2 linked regions of the Rhinolophus ferrumequinum genome follow. The protein of the gene in region 1 interacts with the protein of each later gene in a pairwise test. Links are inferred from orthologs where the notes say so. Each region holds a gene or a part of one and is shown in the gene's direction. Other genes may lie near its edges.

The links.
Region 2: the proteins of YAE1 (region 1) and LTO1 interact in binary tests that used the Homo sapiens proteins (3 or more experiments, as listed by UniProt). The link is inferred for Rhinolophus ferrumequinum from reciprocal best matches to the Homo sapiens genes YAE1 and LTO1.

Annotation. Positions count from the first base shown.
Region 1 is NC_046303.1:53,279,440-53,287,350, forward strand, and holds the start of YAE1 (protein YAE1 homolog), read left to right. Parts: upstream 1-4,468; 5' UTR 4,469-4,532; coding exon 4,533-4,661; intron 4,662-6,045; coding exon 6,046-6,167; intron 6,168-7,761; coding exon 7,762-7,911. UniProt on the Homo sapiens protein: The complex LTO1:YAE1 functions as a target specific adapter that probably recruits apo-ABCE1 to the cytosolic iron-sulfur protein assembly (CIA) complex machinery. May be required for biogenesis of the large ribosomal subunit and initiation of translation.
Region 2 is NC_046294.1:3,471,792-3,479,430, forward strand, and holds the start of LTO1 (protein LTO1 homolog), read left to right. Parts: upstream 1-4,390; 5' UTR 4,391-4,507; coding exon 4,508-4,557; intron 4,558-5,806; coding exon 5,807-5,912; intron 5,913-6,930; coding exon 6,931-7,001; intron 7,002-7,639. UniProt on the Homo sapiens protein: The complex LTO1:YAE1 functions as a target specific adapter that probably recruits apo-ABCE1 to the cytosolic iron-sulfur protein assembly (CIA) complex machinery. May be required for biogenesis of the large ribosomal subunit and initiation of translation.

The DNA of each region.
Region 1 (7,911 bases):
CAATGAGACAACCCAATTTTTTTAAATGGGCAAAGACTTCATTAAAAAGATAGGCAAATGGAAAATAAGTACAGGAAAACATGTTCAACATCATGTCATCTGGAAAACAAAAATTAAAACACAGTGAGATGGCACTACATATCTATCAGAATGGCTGATGTTAAAAAGACCGACAATTCCAAGTAAGGAAGAGGATGTGGAGCAACTGGCACTCCCATACATTCTTGTGGGAGTGTAATACCACTTTGGAAAACAATTTGGCAGTTTCCTATACATTTTTACTGACCATCTGACCCAACAATTCCACTTCTACATATTACCCAAGAGAAATAAAAACATGTGTACACAAAATGACTTGTTCATAGGAATGTTCATAGCAGCTTTATTCAAAATAGCCCAAAACTGGAAAAAATCCAAATGTCCACAAGTGAATGAATACATTATGGTACGTCTGTACAATGAAGAGTACTTAGCAAGTATCAAGAACAACCTACTAGTGCGTGCAACCACATGAACGAATCTCAAAAACATTATGTTGAGTCAAAGGAACCAAAAAGACAGATAGGATTTCATTTCTGTGAAGTTCTAAAACTGGCAAAACTAATCCTGAATGATAGAAATTGGATGGGTGTTGCCTCAGGGGGTGAGGAATTGACTGCAAGGAAGTATGAGGGAAATTTCTAGGGTGATGGAAATGTCTATATCTTGATTGGGTGGTGGTTACACTGATGTATATATTTGTCAAAACACATCAAAACTGTACACTCAAAATATATGTATACTACTGCATGTATATACCTCAATAGAGTTGATTTTTTAAACTATATTCTTGACATTTATACATGCTATATTAATAAATACAGGATACTAAACAAATATGTAAATACTATATCTAACAGTATTTCTTGATATTGCAAGTGGAATATTGATCTCATTTACATTTCTAGATGGTTATTGCTAGAAAATAAAGAGGCTATTGGTCTACTTTTTTATACCCAAAGACTTTATCACAGTCTCTTATTCTATTTTTATCTGAAGCCCTTTGGGTTCTCTAGGCACATGATCTATAAACAGCAAAAAGAATAACTTCATCTCTTACTAACTAACATTTATATAGATTATTTTACCTCTCTTATTGCATTCACTAGTCTCCAAAAGAATGTCAAATAATAATGGTGATCATCAGGTGTCCTCTCTTTTCTCTAAAGGAAATATCTCAACATCTGATTGTTTAGAATACTACTCGCTGTTGGATTTTTCATAAAGTGTAAATTTCTAGTTTCTATTTTATTGTGTTAAGGGTGATTTTTAAATTTTGTCAAGTAACTTTTCAGCATTTATCAAATAACATATGGCTTTTCTCCTTTAAACTGGTAAGCAGGGCTAGCTGAGTGGCTCAGGTGGTTGGAGCCCCATGCTCCTAACGCTGTGGTCGCTGGTTTGATTCAAACATGGGCCAGTAAGGTGCGCCCTCTACAGCTAAGATTGTGAACCACAGCTCTCCTTGGAGCAGGGCTGCATTGAGCTGCTGTACAGCTGCCAGGAACAGCCGGTGGCCAACATGAGCGGCTGGCAGCCTACGAATGCCTCAGCCCGGGGTGAGCGTAAGGCTCATAATAACCAGCATGGGCCAGGGAACTGTGTCCTACACAACTAGACTGAGAAACAATGGCTTGAACTGGAGTGGGAGTGTGGGAGGCAGAAGAAGGGGAGAGAAAAAAATAAAAGTGCTGAAGCAATGAAATATGCTTATACATTTCCTAATATTGCCACAGTTTACTTTCCTTGACTAAAACCTCTTGAATTATTCTTTTGATAAGGTACTAGATTCTCTTTTGAATACATATTCATAAGCTAACTTGAACGTTGGGGTTTTTTTGATACTAACTTTATCAAGTGACAGTGAGGCTGGCTTCATGGAATGATTTAGGGAATTACCATCTTTTTCTTTGCTTTAGAATGTAACTATATTTTTTTTAATATTTTGTTCTTTTAAAAGGATTTAACTATAAAATTATCAAGTCTCCATCTTATTTTTATAGATATTTAATCTCCAATTTTTCTACCATGTTTCCCCGAAAATAAGACCAGGTCTTATATTAATTTTTGCTCCAAAAGACGCATTAGGGCTTATGTTCAAGGCATGTCATCCTTAAAAATCATGCTAGGGCTTATTTTCCGGTTAGGTCTTATTTTTGGGGAAACACGATATTATAATTTGTCTCTTCATGTTTCCTACTTGTTGGGTCAGTTTTATTAGGAGGTCATTCATATCTCCTAGGTTTTCAAATGTGTTTTTTTTTTAGTTTCAGTTAGTAATTTGTAATATTTGAATTTCCTTCTGCATCATTACTTCCTTTCTCATGTCTATCTTGTATAATTTTTTTTTTAATCAGGATCAAGAGAGGATTATCTATTTTATTGGTGTTTTCAAAGAATCAGCTTTTGGACTTATTTATGCAAGTTTTGGAGCTTTCTATTTTATAACTTCAGTTGTTATTTTTACTGCTTCCCCATACTACCATTTTGTTTCTAATTAAGATACACAGTAAGTTTATGTATTTTTTTTCTTCTTTAATAATAAAGACATTTAAGCCTATGGAAGGGCCCCTGAAAGCAGCTTTCCTCTAGTCCCACATTTTTTGGACGTATTCTGATTTTACTTGATTATTGTACGTCATTTTAATTTTTATTTCCTTTTTGATCCAAATGTTATTTAGGAGAGTGTTTCAAATGTCCAATATTACAGTTTAAATTATTGGGGTTATTTTTATTATTTATTACTGATTCTGTTGGATTATGATCGGAGAATATGACCTGTAAAATCCCTATTCTTTTAAGTTTATCAAGGTATTTTTTGTGGTCAAGTATGGAATGTTTTTATACACATTCCATGGATCTACCAAATACTCTCTGAACATTTAAATTTATAACCTGCACCACCCACCCACCTTCATTCACATATTCATGGTGCTACTGAGCTAAGTTTCAGCTGCTCACTGCTCCTATGCCCAAGATTGAGAGACAAGGGTTTGTGAATAGAAAAGTAGGCTTATTCAAAATGCCAGCATTTTGAGATGATGGCAGACTACGGTCTCAAAGGCCACCTTTCTGTTCCTAGAACAGTCAGAAGGTTATGTAGGTACACAAGAAGGAGAACAAAGGAAAGGGGGAGTTAGTCATGTGACTCCTCTGGGAGGACGACTCCTGGGGTCTGTTTTATTCCCCCTCGGTTATCTCAAACCTGGTCTTAGGGGTGATTCATATATCATCTGACAGAAAATCACAGTCTGGAATCTCAACCTGGTTGCTGGTGTCGGGATGGCTGAAGGCTGACTCAGTTTCTTGCAAGTTAGTGTTCTGCTGATTAACTAGATGAACAAGGTATGCATGTAGCCTTGGGAAACAGTTATATGGGGCAGTGAGGGAGAGAAACAAAGAAGACAAAAAAATAATAATAAACTACAAAATAAAGTAAATCAAACTATAATTGAGTAAACCAAGCTAGATTGCTAAATCCTTAAAAGTATTCCATCACCCTTACAATGGTTCCCCTTACTTTTTTTCACAGCATATATCATTCATGATCTTATAACAAACTATATAATTTACTTATATAGTGCTTATTGTTAATCTACCGTCAATTTTACAAGAATGTAAAGTCCACAAGAGTTTGGAAATTTTGTCTGTATCATTCACTGATGGATCCCAAAAGCCTACGTTGCCTGGCACACGGCAGGTAGTCAAAGAAATTTGCTAGATAAATAAATCATTACCATGCAGAAAAAGGCGAATCAGGAATACTACTGGAGTCATTCATTCACTAGCATCTGTTCCAGCATTTACTAGAGTCAGAACCTTACTGGTGTTGAGTATATTGTAAACAAGTCTCCGCCCTCACCGAGCCAATAGTCTACTTTTAGGAAACCAGTGAAGGATGCTGTGAATCAATGAGAAATATTTCAGTTTCATAAGTGTACTCTACATTTATTGAATTCAAAATGGCCGCTGTGTCTAACTTTTCGATTCTATTTTCCTTTGCTCCACGCTCCTAATAATTAAAACGTCAGGCTGTCAAATCCCTTAAATGCACAGAGGGAGATTCTAAAAGACACCAGAGTCTTTGCCTAGTAATAGCCCATCAACTGAACTACATTGAATGGTTTCACAAACGCGCACGACTCCAAAACCCAGTTTACTGGGGAGACCCTAGGAAAAATGAAGTGTTCGCAAAGGGTTCAGGCTGTCTTGACCCGCAGAGGTCAAGGTCGGCGGGCCCAGCGAGGAAAGAATCCGCCTCGCCCACCACAGGAATCCGCCAACATTTTGAGTCAACCGAGGGAGGCTGACACCACCAGGGAGCGGAAAGCGCGGGCGGCACGCCGGACCCACCGGAGACCGCCCCCGTCGCGCACGCGCACGCGCACGCGCAGCCGCCCCGCGAGCCCGACTCGCAGACGTCGCCCCGCCCCTCAGACCGGAAGGAGTTGCGGGCGTTTCCTGCGCTCAGCGGCCTTGTGGTTGCCTCGGTGATGTCGTGGGTTCAAGCCGCAACTTTCGTGGGCGATCAAGGAGAACAGGGCGAAGTGTTTGATGAGGAAGCGGACGAGTCGCTCCTGGTGCAGCGGGAATGGCGGAGCCACATGCAGAGACGCGTCAAAGTAAAACTGTGTGGAGGGCGCGGGGATCCCTTGATCTGCTGGGTCGTGGGGAGAGGGGCGCGAAGTTGTGAAGAAGCTGGTTCCGGACATTAGAGGCCAGAGTGGTCCCGGCCCGGCCAGGCGCTGCCCTTCCTACCGCTTACACGGTCCGCCCGCGTCCTGCTAGGATTTCCCAAGGGGTTACTTGAAAGCGTGTGAAACCACAGGGAGCGTTCCGCGATGGTCTGTGGGGTGCGTTAGACGCTGGGTCCGACCAAAATAAACTATCTAAACGTTGAACAGATTACAGTTTAATGAGGACCACAGAGAAAGGGGGTGGAGGAGAAGTGTATAATATATAAACTGACTGTACTAATTATGGCTGTCAGAGGATATGTACACAGTTTACACGGGTTGCTCGAATGGATGAGGAGCCGAAAGTTAGAGCCGGTATTAATCTGTACGGAAAAAGTGAACATAAGAATGTTGTCGAAGGGCAATGAGGGAAAGTTAATACGGAATACCGGTGGCTAAGTGAGGAAATATTAAAGTTAATTTCTTTTTTTATTTCTTAGGTGTGATTTGTCCATTTCTAATTTGTCTAACTATTCAATAAGACTGAGCTCAATACCACACACCCAATTTCTAGGTGGAGCATTCCAGAGTCAGGACCAAATAGTGAGGTCCACTTCTACTTAATATCCTTGCCAACAATTAATTAAATTGCCCGTAAATCTGCTTTTGTTTAATGTTTCACTAAAATAGTATTTGTTTAGCCCAACAACCATGTTGTCAGTTTCAGGAATACTTTATATGAGGCGGGGACATCTGTTATTGAGCATCTTTTGAGTGCTGTGGCACCAGAGGAGGTGCAGGACAAAACCCCTGCCCACAGAAAATTTGTACTTTGATTGAATTTAGGTATCAAGCAAAATTTCTAAAACCAGACTTGTCTTTTTCCTTTTGCTAAACCAGTTTCCTCTTCCTCTACTCCAGTTAATTATTCAAGACTTTCAATAACTCTACTTACTGCTCAGCCTCCTCACCCTCCCACACCAATCCTATCAGTTGCCAAGGGGCCAGACACATAATTCTTCTTTCTGTGTATCTTTTCTGTGATGCCATTGCTAACACAGGATTTTTTAAAAACTGTATAAGAATTAGTACTTTTTAAAGTGTAGCAAATAAGTCTAGACTTCAAAAACGAGATAAACCAATAATACGTTTTTATGAGCATAGCCTACTTTGTGTGGCTGTGCCATATGTTATAGAACCTTATGTTAAATATACACAGGAAAGTCTTATTTCATCAATTTTCTAAATTGGTTCTATGACTTTCAGGGGAAATCTACAGTTGTTCACTTGATGTTAGTTACAGCTGCAATTCTTCATTACTTATTTTTAGGAAGGTTATAGAGATGGACTAGAGGCTGGCAAAGCAGTTACTCTGCAACAAGGCTTCAATCAAGGTTATAAAGAAGGTGCAGAAGTCATTATAAACTATGGACAACTCAGAGGAACTTTGAGGTAATTTTTTAAAACTTGCCTTTAACTTACCTTAAACTTAAATGCTGAATCATTTTAACCTCAGTACTACTGGAGGATTTTTATAAAAGTAATGTGTAAAAATAAAGTGTTAAAATGCTTTTCCTAGTGTTAAATCCACACGAGTGCTACAGAACATAGAATGATAATGCCTTCAAAAAGTCAAAATTGTGGGTTTATCCACTTTAATAAGTGATCCAGGTGTTGTCCTTTATGGCAAAGCAATGATAGAAAGGTGTGTATTTTTTGCAACCTGAACTACCACCAATCTATATATCAAAGTAATTTAAAAGATTTTCAGGTTTTGAATAAAGCTTTTAGTCTTGCACATGTGACAGAACGCAGTATTACAGACTTCTAGACTAGAAGTACATGACAAAAATTACGGCTGGTATATAGAGAAAAATGATACCATTTCCCTTAGTCCTGAACATTGAACACCTGTCAAGACCCCATAGTAATAATGGCATATGGAGCGAGAAGCGTGACAGGGTTGTCCTCTTTGATACATTACACCTTTTAAACCGACCTTGATAGAGAAGATGCTGCAAGGAATTATGGTTTGTGAAAGGGTAAAAAATAAAAATCATCAAAACAAAAAAACTAATGACTGTTTAAGGTTTTAGAAAATTCAATGCTCAGGAATCAGAATTTGTAGTTTACTACAGTAGGAAAATGATCAAGTGTTCATCTTCACATCAAGTTAATCTTTTATAATCTTAGAAAGTTTATCGCTAAATCTTTATATCAATTGATTCCATTTTTAAAACATCATTATTTTTAACAACCATTTTATGTCATGGTTATCTGAACAATCTAAAATACCAAAAATCAAAAGTGCTGTCTGTACTAGAAAAGTAAAGAAAAATATTTATTAGGACTAGAAGAATTCCAACCTTCTTCAAGAAAATGGTTAGCTCAGCAAACAGTCTGTTTGTAACAAAGTTGGGAAAGTGAAGTTGCCTCAAAATTTTTTTTCTAAGCTTCAGTTTTAATGGCAAGCAAATGCTGTATGTGATTAGAACAATGGCTTTCAACCTTGGCTGCACCTTGATATTAGCTAGGACGTTTTAAAAAATAATACCTCTAGAGATTCTGATTTCATTGGTCTGGGGTGTGACTCGGACCTTGATAGTTTTAAAAGCTCCCCGGATGATTCTAATGTGCATCCAAGATTGAGACTCACTAGTTTAGAAGTTGTTTGATATCCTTAAAGGGGAAACTGGTGTATCTTTCTCTAAGTTGTATCCCTTATCAGCAGGAGCTACACAGTCATAAACGGGAAAATCTAAAATGAGGAAAAGTAGATGTGAAGGAGGGGTTATGAATTATAAACAGTTTATGTGATTGAGTCCAATTGTTTAATTTCTATTGAAAGATAATATCCTTATATATATATATTTAAATCCTGTTTTTACCATTGTTACTTTCCTGATTTTGACTTGCATTATTATTAATTCAGTTTTGCATGCTGTTATCTAGAAAAGAAACATATAGGGCTTAGTATCAAAAAATCTAAAAGCCTGTGATTATTTCATTTTTTTCCTATTTAACTCTTGTTTATATTTTCATTCAGTGCTTTGCTCTCCTGGTGTCACCTTCATGATAACAGTTCGACTTTGATCGGTAAAATAAATAATCTTCTGGATGCAGTTGGCCAGTGTGAAGAGTGTGTTCTCAAACATCTGAAATCAGTTACCCCACAGCCCCATGTTGTAGATTTATT
Region 2 (7,639 bases), on another chromosome or scaffold:
TCACGAGCAGAAAAAATGCTACATTTTGTTTTTCACTTGCCTTTTTTTGTCCTAATAAGATGAATGTGTTCCTAGGTTAACAGCTCTAGTTCTCCTTGTCAGGTTTGGTTTGGTTAGTTTTGGAGGCTGCCTGCTATTTTGCTGCAGATACATTAAATAAAAAAAAAAAAATCAATTCCAATAAGCAAACACTTTTCAATAAACTTTGATGAATTTTGTTTTTCACGTTAGTTGTAGCAACTTGGTTCTCCTCGAATTTGACCAAGAAAATGTGAAACAAGTCTATTTTTTTAAAAAAGGCATTTCTGAGATACTCTTTTTATTTTTAAAATGAATTTTTTGGGGGGAAGATTGGGGAACAGTGTGTTTCTCCAGGGCCCATCAGCTCCAAGTCGTTGTCCTTCAATCTAGTTGTGGAGGGCGCAGCTCACTGGCCCATGTGGGAATCGAACCAGCAACCCTGTTGTTCAGAGCTCATGCTCTAACCAACTGAGCCATCGGTCCACCACAAAATAAGTATATTTTTAAAACTGTGTTTTATTTCTTAACATAGTGAATCCCTGAAAGGTGATTATATCTTACCCTTTATACCTTTTGTGATAAATTAAATGTTTAGTAATAGTGTTTTGAAACTACTGGAATACATACAATCAAGGCAGCTTTCAGAGAAACTAAAAATTGAAGCTTAGAAAGCTCTACAGTATCTTTCAAAACCCTTTTAGATAGTTTTCATTGTATCCATACAAATTTATCGTTTCTTATTCCATTTAATTAAGTGGAAAAATTTCAGTTTATAGGATATACACAAGCAAAAATCACAACTCTTTTCTTAAAAATTGACATAACAAGGAGAGATATTAATTCAGTTTTTTGCTACCTACTTTTTATGAGTTTAGTTGCTAAAATGACACCAAATTTGAAACGTATATAAGGATTTTGAAATAAACATTTGCACTTTAAATCTCCGCCTTTTCTACATTCAGGGTCCTATTTTTAAAATCTGGTCTTTATTTGAAAATGAAGCAATTTGTGAATGCAATATCGAAAAATCCAAGATAACGTAATCAGACTTTTTTACCTTTTAGATTAAGAAAATCTGGGTTCAAATCAGTACGTAAGGAACTCAATCAAGGAACCAATGGGGTGGGTGGGGAGAGTCTCTTCAAAGTTTTATTTTCAAACTAATAGTTTGAATCAATAGTGTTGATTTTTGTAAATCTTTCAAAGTTTGCACAATTTAAAACAATTTGAAATTAAAGACTTGTGGACATCTGTATAAGTTTTCATGTCCATAAGTTTTATCCCATAATTGGTCTTTTTTTCCCCTCACCACATATCTGTTTTCCTGTGCCCAAAGAAAATGCAGTATAAAATATACAAAATGCACAATAAAATATTTTCTTGTCTTTTCTTTCAGCTGATAAAATTTATGATAAAAAATGTAATATACATAGTCACTGTTTTTACATATATATGTAAAAGAAGAGTTCTCTTATTAGGGACATGTTTGTAATATAATATTAAGTGGGCAGGGGGAAGGACATAAAATTTTACATATATTAAGATTATTTTCATGCGAAAATTCAAAGGAAAACAATGTAACAAAATTAGCTAAAATTAATCGGTGGCTAGAGTAGTGAGAGAGCAAATTTGTTTGCTTGCTTGTTTTGCTCTTTTTCCAACATTCCAAATTTTTGTGTTTTCGTTTGCTTATGAAAAAAATAAACTAAAAAGGAAAAGACATTTTAAGAACACAATAATACACAATCTGTTTAATTTCATCTTCCAGAAATGTTTTTTATTGGGCTTTTTATGCTGACCTGAGAAACTCATGTTCACTGTGCAAACATGGAATATTCAGAAAAATATAAAAGACAAAAGTTTACGTTCCTGTAATTTTAAAATCTAGGTATAGTCACCGTTAACATGGTGTACTTACTTTCATTCTTTTTAAAAGCATAATTATTTGGTGTAATTGGAACTGGAGTACAGGTAGATTTTTTTTTGTGTTTTTTTCATTCCCTAAACATCAGGAGCATTTTCATTTTCCATGACATTCCTTTTGTTTCAAACATTATTTTTGGCTGTTGCTGACGAGTCTTTGCTGTGAGGATCCTACCATATAGATGTCACCGTTTCACCATTTTGTCACTGTAAGTTGCTTTCTCCTTCTGGCTTTTCCAGATCACACTGCATTGAACATCATTGTACAATTATCACTTTTCTCTGATTATTTTTCAGAGACGAAGTATTAGAAGTGAAATTACTAGGTCAAAATTGAAAACCATTTAAAATACTTTCCTGTCTTTCTACATTACCTGACTAAAAAGTAGTTTTAATTTATGCATCTGTGGGCAATGACAGTATCTTACCATTCTAAAAAAATTTTCTTTTGAACTATTTTAAAAGGTAAAAACTGTATCTCATTGTTCTTTCACTTAGTACTCCTAAGATTACAAGTAAGGCTGTCTTTTTCTTTTGCCAGCCAGGCTTGATCTCTTCTGGGAATTATGTATTCAAATCCTGGCCCATTTTTTTTCTATTTCAATTAAGTTCTTTATAAACCCGAAATAGTATTCCTTTGGTTATAATACTTATGATAAATAAATACCCAGGTTATTCTTTGGTTTTTAATTTTATTACCACAGTTGGTATGTACAAGTTTGTATTTTTGTGTAGTAAAATACACAGGTTTTCCCTTTGTGATTCCCTCCATGGCTTTTCATGTATTAAAAATGCTTTCCCATACTCACCAGAATTATCAAATGTCCTTTAAAAATATATATATAAATATATATCTTTAAATTGTCTGGAACTATTTTAATGAATGGTATGAGATATAAATGGAACTTGACTTTCCCCAAAAGCCAATTTTTCCATTATAGTGACTGATTAAAATATCCTTCCCCCATTAATTTGTGGTTCTTATTGTGTGAGATTTTACGTCTACTAGAATCCCCTTTCAGGCCATTCTACTATATTTCATTCATCTGTCTCTTCTTGAACCAACATGTCACAATATTTTTATTGAAACTTTATCATTTCATATCTGGTAAGTTCTCCATATCATTCTTTTTCAAAAACATCTTAGTTATTCGTATTCATCCAGATGAAATATAGAATTTTGACACATTTCCCCCAGATGCCATAGAATTTTGTTCCTATCCAGGGTCATTCCTAGCCTGCAGCTTTCTTCATATGGATCCTGCTCAAATCTTCTTATTCCTAAGCAATTTATTGTGACTATGGTAAAGAGGATTTCCCCAGTCCTCCCTGCTCAAGCCATGACTATTGTCACAATAACAGAAAGCAAGTGCTTTTTTTTTTTTTTTTCCCCTGAACTCTGTCCAGTTCTGAGAATGTCTCATTTTTTTAAAGTGTATTTTAAGGAGAATACTTCTGGTACTTCATGTCTATGTTCCATTGTCACTGAGTTAGAGGCACCTTCTTAAAAGTGTACTCTCACGGAAAGGACAAATGGGAGAACTAGGGCTAGGTACTACTTACACAAAAGGGGGAGCATGCCTCCTGCTGGAGTGGGGGCACCGGTTGCTCTTAATTCCAAACCCTCTGTACTATTGGATTCTTGACTTTGCATGAATTATGAATCACCTGCTTTTGCTTTAAAAACAAATAAGAGCAAGAAAAAAACCACACACACACACACACACACACACCCCTTTTATTTCAGGCTTTCCAATAACTCTTAAGATTTCAAGAGGGGGTGCCAACATTTATTGTTGCCATTCCCGGCGAGTGTTAAGACGGCGAGGCTGCTTCCCTGTCACCTGCTGCCGTTGCCGATTCTCGAGGGTCCAGTCAGCTTGCGTTTCCTGAACCACGGCCCGCAGTCCCTGGATTACTGTTAACGTGGACTTGGTGGCATTTTAGGCTGCGGTCGGGAGCCTAACGTCGTCCTAGAAGGTGGCCCTTGGCTGTGGGTCGGGGTCAGCGAGCGCGGGGGGACGGGCCCGTCCCCCCTCCTCTGTGTCCTGTCGCCACCCCAGGAATTGCCCTTCCTGGCCATTTTCCACCCCAAATCCCACGGGCGGGCAGCCTCCTGGCCCCGAGCCTCCCGAGGCATTTGTTCTTTGATAGCTTTTCCAGTTTCTTCCCTGGTTCTTTCTGAGCCGCTTTTGGCCATTCGGTTCCATCTGCTCGGTTTTGTAAAACTGAAAACATGGGTCACACCCCCTCCCGCTGCCAGGTGGACGCTCCGGGTTGGGACCCACCGGCCTATTGAGGGAGCCGAGGAGGGAGGGGCGGGGGGCGGGGCCGCGTCCCCGCCCAGCTCCGCCCAGCTCCGCCCCCGCGCACGCGTTGCGAGCCCGCGCCGGCGCCTGCTGGACCCTGCCGCGCGCCGTCCTTACCCGGCCTGCCCCGCGCAGCCGCCGCCGGAAGTGAGTTTCGCCTCTTCGGAAGCGGATGGTCCGCTGGAACCTCGCGGGTCGGCGGCGGCAGCGGCGTGTGGCGGAGCTCCGGGCCAGAGGCGGGCCGACCTGCCGCCATGGCCGGGGATCAGGACCCGTTCGACGCCATCGTGATGGCGGATGACAGGTGAGTGGCAGCCTTCGCTGGGACGGGGACCCCCGCCCCGTCAGGTGAGCTCTGGAGCTGCTGGGCTGCGGGCTGCGGCGGCCGCTCGGGCCTGGTGTCCCGGGCGTGGGGGCCTTGCAGGGGCGCTCTGGGGTCCTGGGAGTGGCGGACACGGGTGGGGCCGAGATGCTCTGGATCCTTCTTTACTCGTCGGCCGCTGGGGCGGGCGCCCGGTGCCCAGCTGCTCCTGCAGACCCGCCTCCGCGGTCGGGCTGCCCCAAGCATCTGCTCGGCCTCCTGACTGCCTTCCTCCAGGGACGCCCCGTCTTCGCGTGCGACAGACCTTTGCCATCTGGGCCCTGCCCCCTTTCCTTGTTCCTTAATGGTAGGACATACGGCGGCATTCATGGCCACGCTGATGAATGTGTGCGACGTCCTCCCTGCCCCTGCGGAGCCCCCGGGGAGCGCGGGGGCTGTGACGCGGGGGCGCTGGCAGTCGCCGTGTGCCTGCCTGTCTGAGCCGGCAGTGGTGTCGGGAAAGCGGACGTGCACCCGTCAGTGGCCGACGTTTGTGTTGTGAATCTGGTACCTTACGTGTTGTACTTTGGTACCTGTTTCAGTCGCCCAGATGAGGCAGGTCACGCAACCAGCAGGCGGGAACTCCTGTCCTTTTTGGTGACTGCAGGTTCAGGCGGTGCCACTTGCCCCCGTTGAGCCCCCAGAGTCAGAGACTTGATTACGCTCCAGGCACCACAGCCCTCGTCCAGGTTGTGGTGCCCTGATGGCATTTCTCTCTGCGCGTCTACTGAGATGTGATGGAAAGCCCTCCATGGATTGCGGGTTTTTTGAAGCAGTTGGTCCCGTCTGGTATCTTACAGACTCCCTGGACTTTGTGCCACCCGGGCTGCACAGCAGGGTCCCCTGGGAAGTTTCGAAAAGTAGATTCCTGGGCCTTAGTTCAGACTTACGCAATGTCTTCGAAGTTTCCCTGTGTGTTTCTGGGGTCCCTCCAGGTTTGGGAGTCCCGAAGTAGCTCGCCCCCCTCATTGGTGAAGAGGCTTCAAGAGATAGGGCGCCTCCCCCCGGAGGAGACTTAGGGAGGGGTAGAGCTGGGAAGGGAGCCGGAATGTTCTGTCTTACGTTTTCTGCTTTTTCTGCTGTGCTGTGCCTTGTCTCGCTGGGTTTGGGTAACGGGGGGGAGCAAAGTCTTCCCGGGAAGAAGACTCTCTCTCCTCTTTATGTGCTCAAGCGTGCTGCTTCTCTGTCCCAGGTTTCACGGGGAAGGGTACCAGGAAGGCTATGAAGAAGGCAGCAGCTTGGGTATCATTGAGGGAAGACAACATGGCACATTGCACGGCGCTAAAATCGGATCTGAGGTGAGTGGGAACCCCTGCGTTGAAACGAATCCTTTTCATGTGCCGTTTATAATTTACTCTGATGGTCGGGATGAGGGAGCCAGAGCGTCAGGCCTTTTAAAATGGCAAGAGACTAGGCAGAATGTTGATGGAGAAATGCGCTTGGTACGGAACTGTATCGAGAGAATGACGTGCGGGTTGGAGAATGACAAAACCCATCCTCGTTCACCTCAGTTTACCTGAATGTCGTGGTGCTGCCTCGGGTCTTAAGCCAGCTGAATCCTCACCCAGAGAATGTCATGTGAAAACATTCCATTTTCATTTACGCCAAAATTCCGTAAAATCTATGATTTGCCTTCTCCTCGGCCCAGTGCCCTCGAGTGGCCCTCACGGACAGCTGGCACTAAATGAAAAGTCTGAGGCAGTCATGACTATATTACATGTCTGTTGCTGCAAAACGAATGGCCACGAAACATGTGGGCTTAAGCCAGCCACCGTTTATTATCCCCCTGGCTCCTGCCGGTCAGGGGTCTGGGAGCAGCGGAGCTGGCTGGCTCTGGCTCCGGGTCTCCTGATGATGGAGCCAGGGCTGCAGGCGTGTGAAGGCTTGACGGGGCTGGAAGAGCCCCTTGTGTGGTGCCGCACACAGCGATTGTTCTCGCCCTGTGGACCTCTCCACGGGGCTGCTTCAGTGCCCTCGTGACACTTGAGCCAGTGATGAAGGCAGAAGTGACCTTGTCTGTGATGCTTAGCCTCAGAAGTCACGTGCTCCCTCTTCCTGAGTTCTATTGGTTACACTGTCCACTCTGGTACCATCAGAGGGGCTGCCCAAGGACATGGTCTGTGGGACCCCCTTGGAGGCTGGCTACCCCACTGATGACCTAATTTCTGTTGCCTGATGCTCAACACATACTTCTAGAACAACAATGTAAGACACCACTGCCCTCCTCCCCACCTATTGTTTTGAGAGTAGGATAATTAGACCAAGGGTAGCTAGTTACTTATTCATTTCTCACTTAAATGTTTTTTAAATTTACAGATCGGGTGCTACCAAGGTTTTGCTTTTGCTTGGAGGTGTCTCCTGCACGGTCGGGCCACTGAGAAAGACAGGTAAAGTTTGAGACTTCTTTTTTTTTCAGTGTGTGGACCAGGAGTTCTAGTTCCATTAGCTTGCTGTGACCTTGAGCAGTTAATGTCTCGGTGTCCTCATCTGGAAAATGGAGAAAATCATCATACCAAACTTGAATGTTGTTATGAGATTCACAGGAAATAGTACAGTAGTCTCCCTTATCTGTGCTTTCAGTCAACTGGGGTCTGAAACTATTACATGGAAAATTCCAGACATAAACAGTTCATAAGTGTTAAATTGGGCACCATTGTGAACAGCGTGAGGAAGTCTCGCGCCGTCCTGCTCCTGTGTGCCCAGGACGTGCATCGCACGGTGTCCAGCGTTTCCACGCCGCAGACTCTCCCGCCCGCTAGTCACTCAGTAGCCACCTTGGGGACCAGCTCAGAATTGCAGGGCTTGTGTTCACGTCACCCTCATGTTACTTAATGGCCACAGAGCGCAGGAGTCGTGATGTCGGCCACTCGGGCATGCTGGAGAGAAGCCATAAAGGGCTTCCTTTAAAACAGTATGTAAGGGTTCGGTGCTGTCCATGGGGTCTTAGAATGTACCCCTGCAGATAAGGGGGGCCTGTAACCAGGGAGTGCCAGGCATGTTTTCAGTGTTGGATGAACACTGGTCG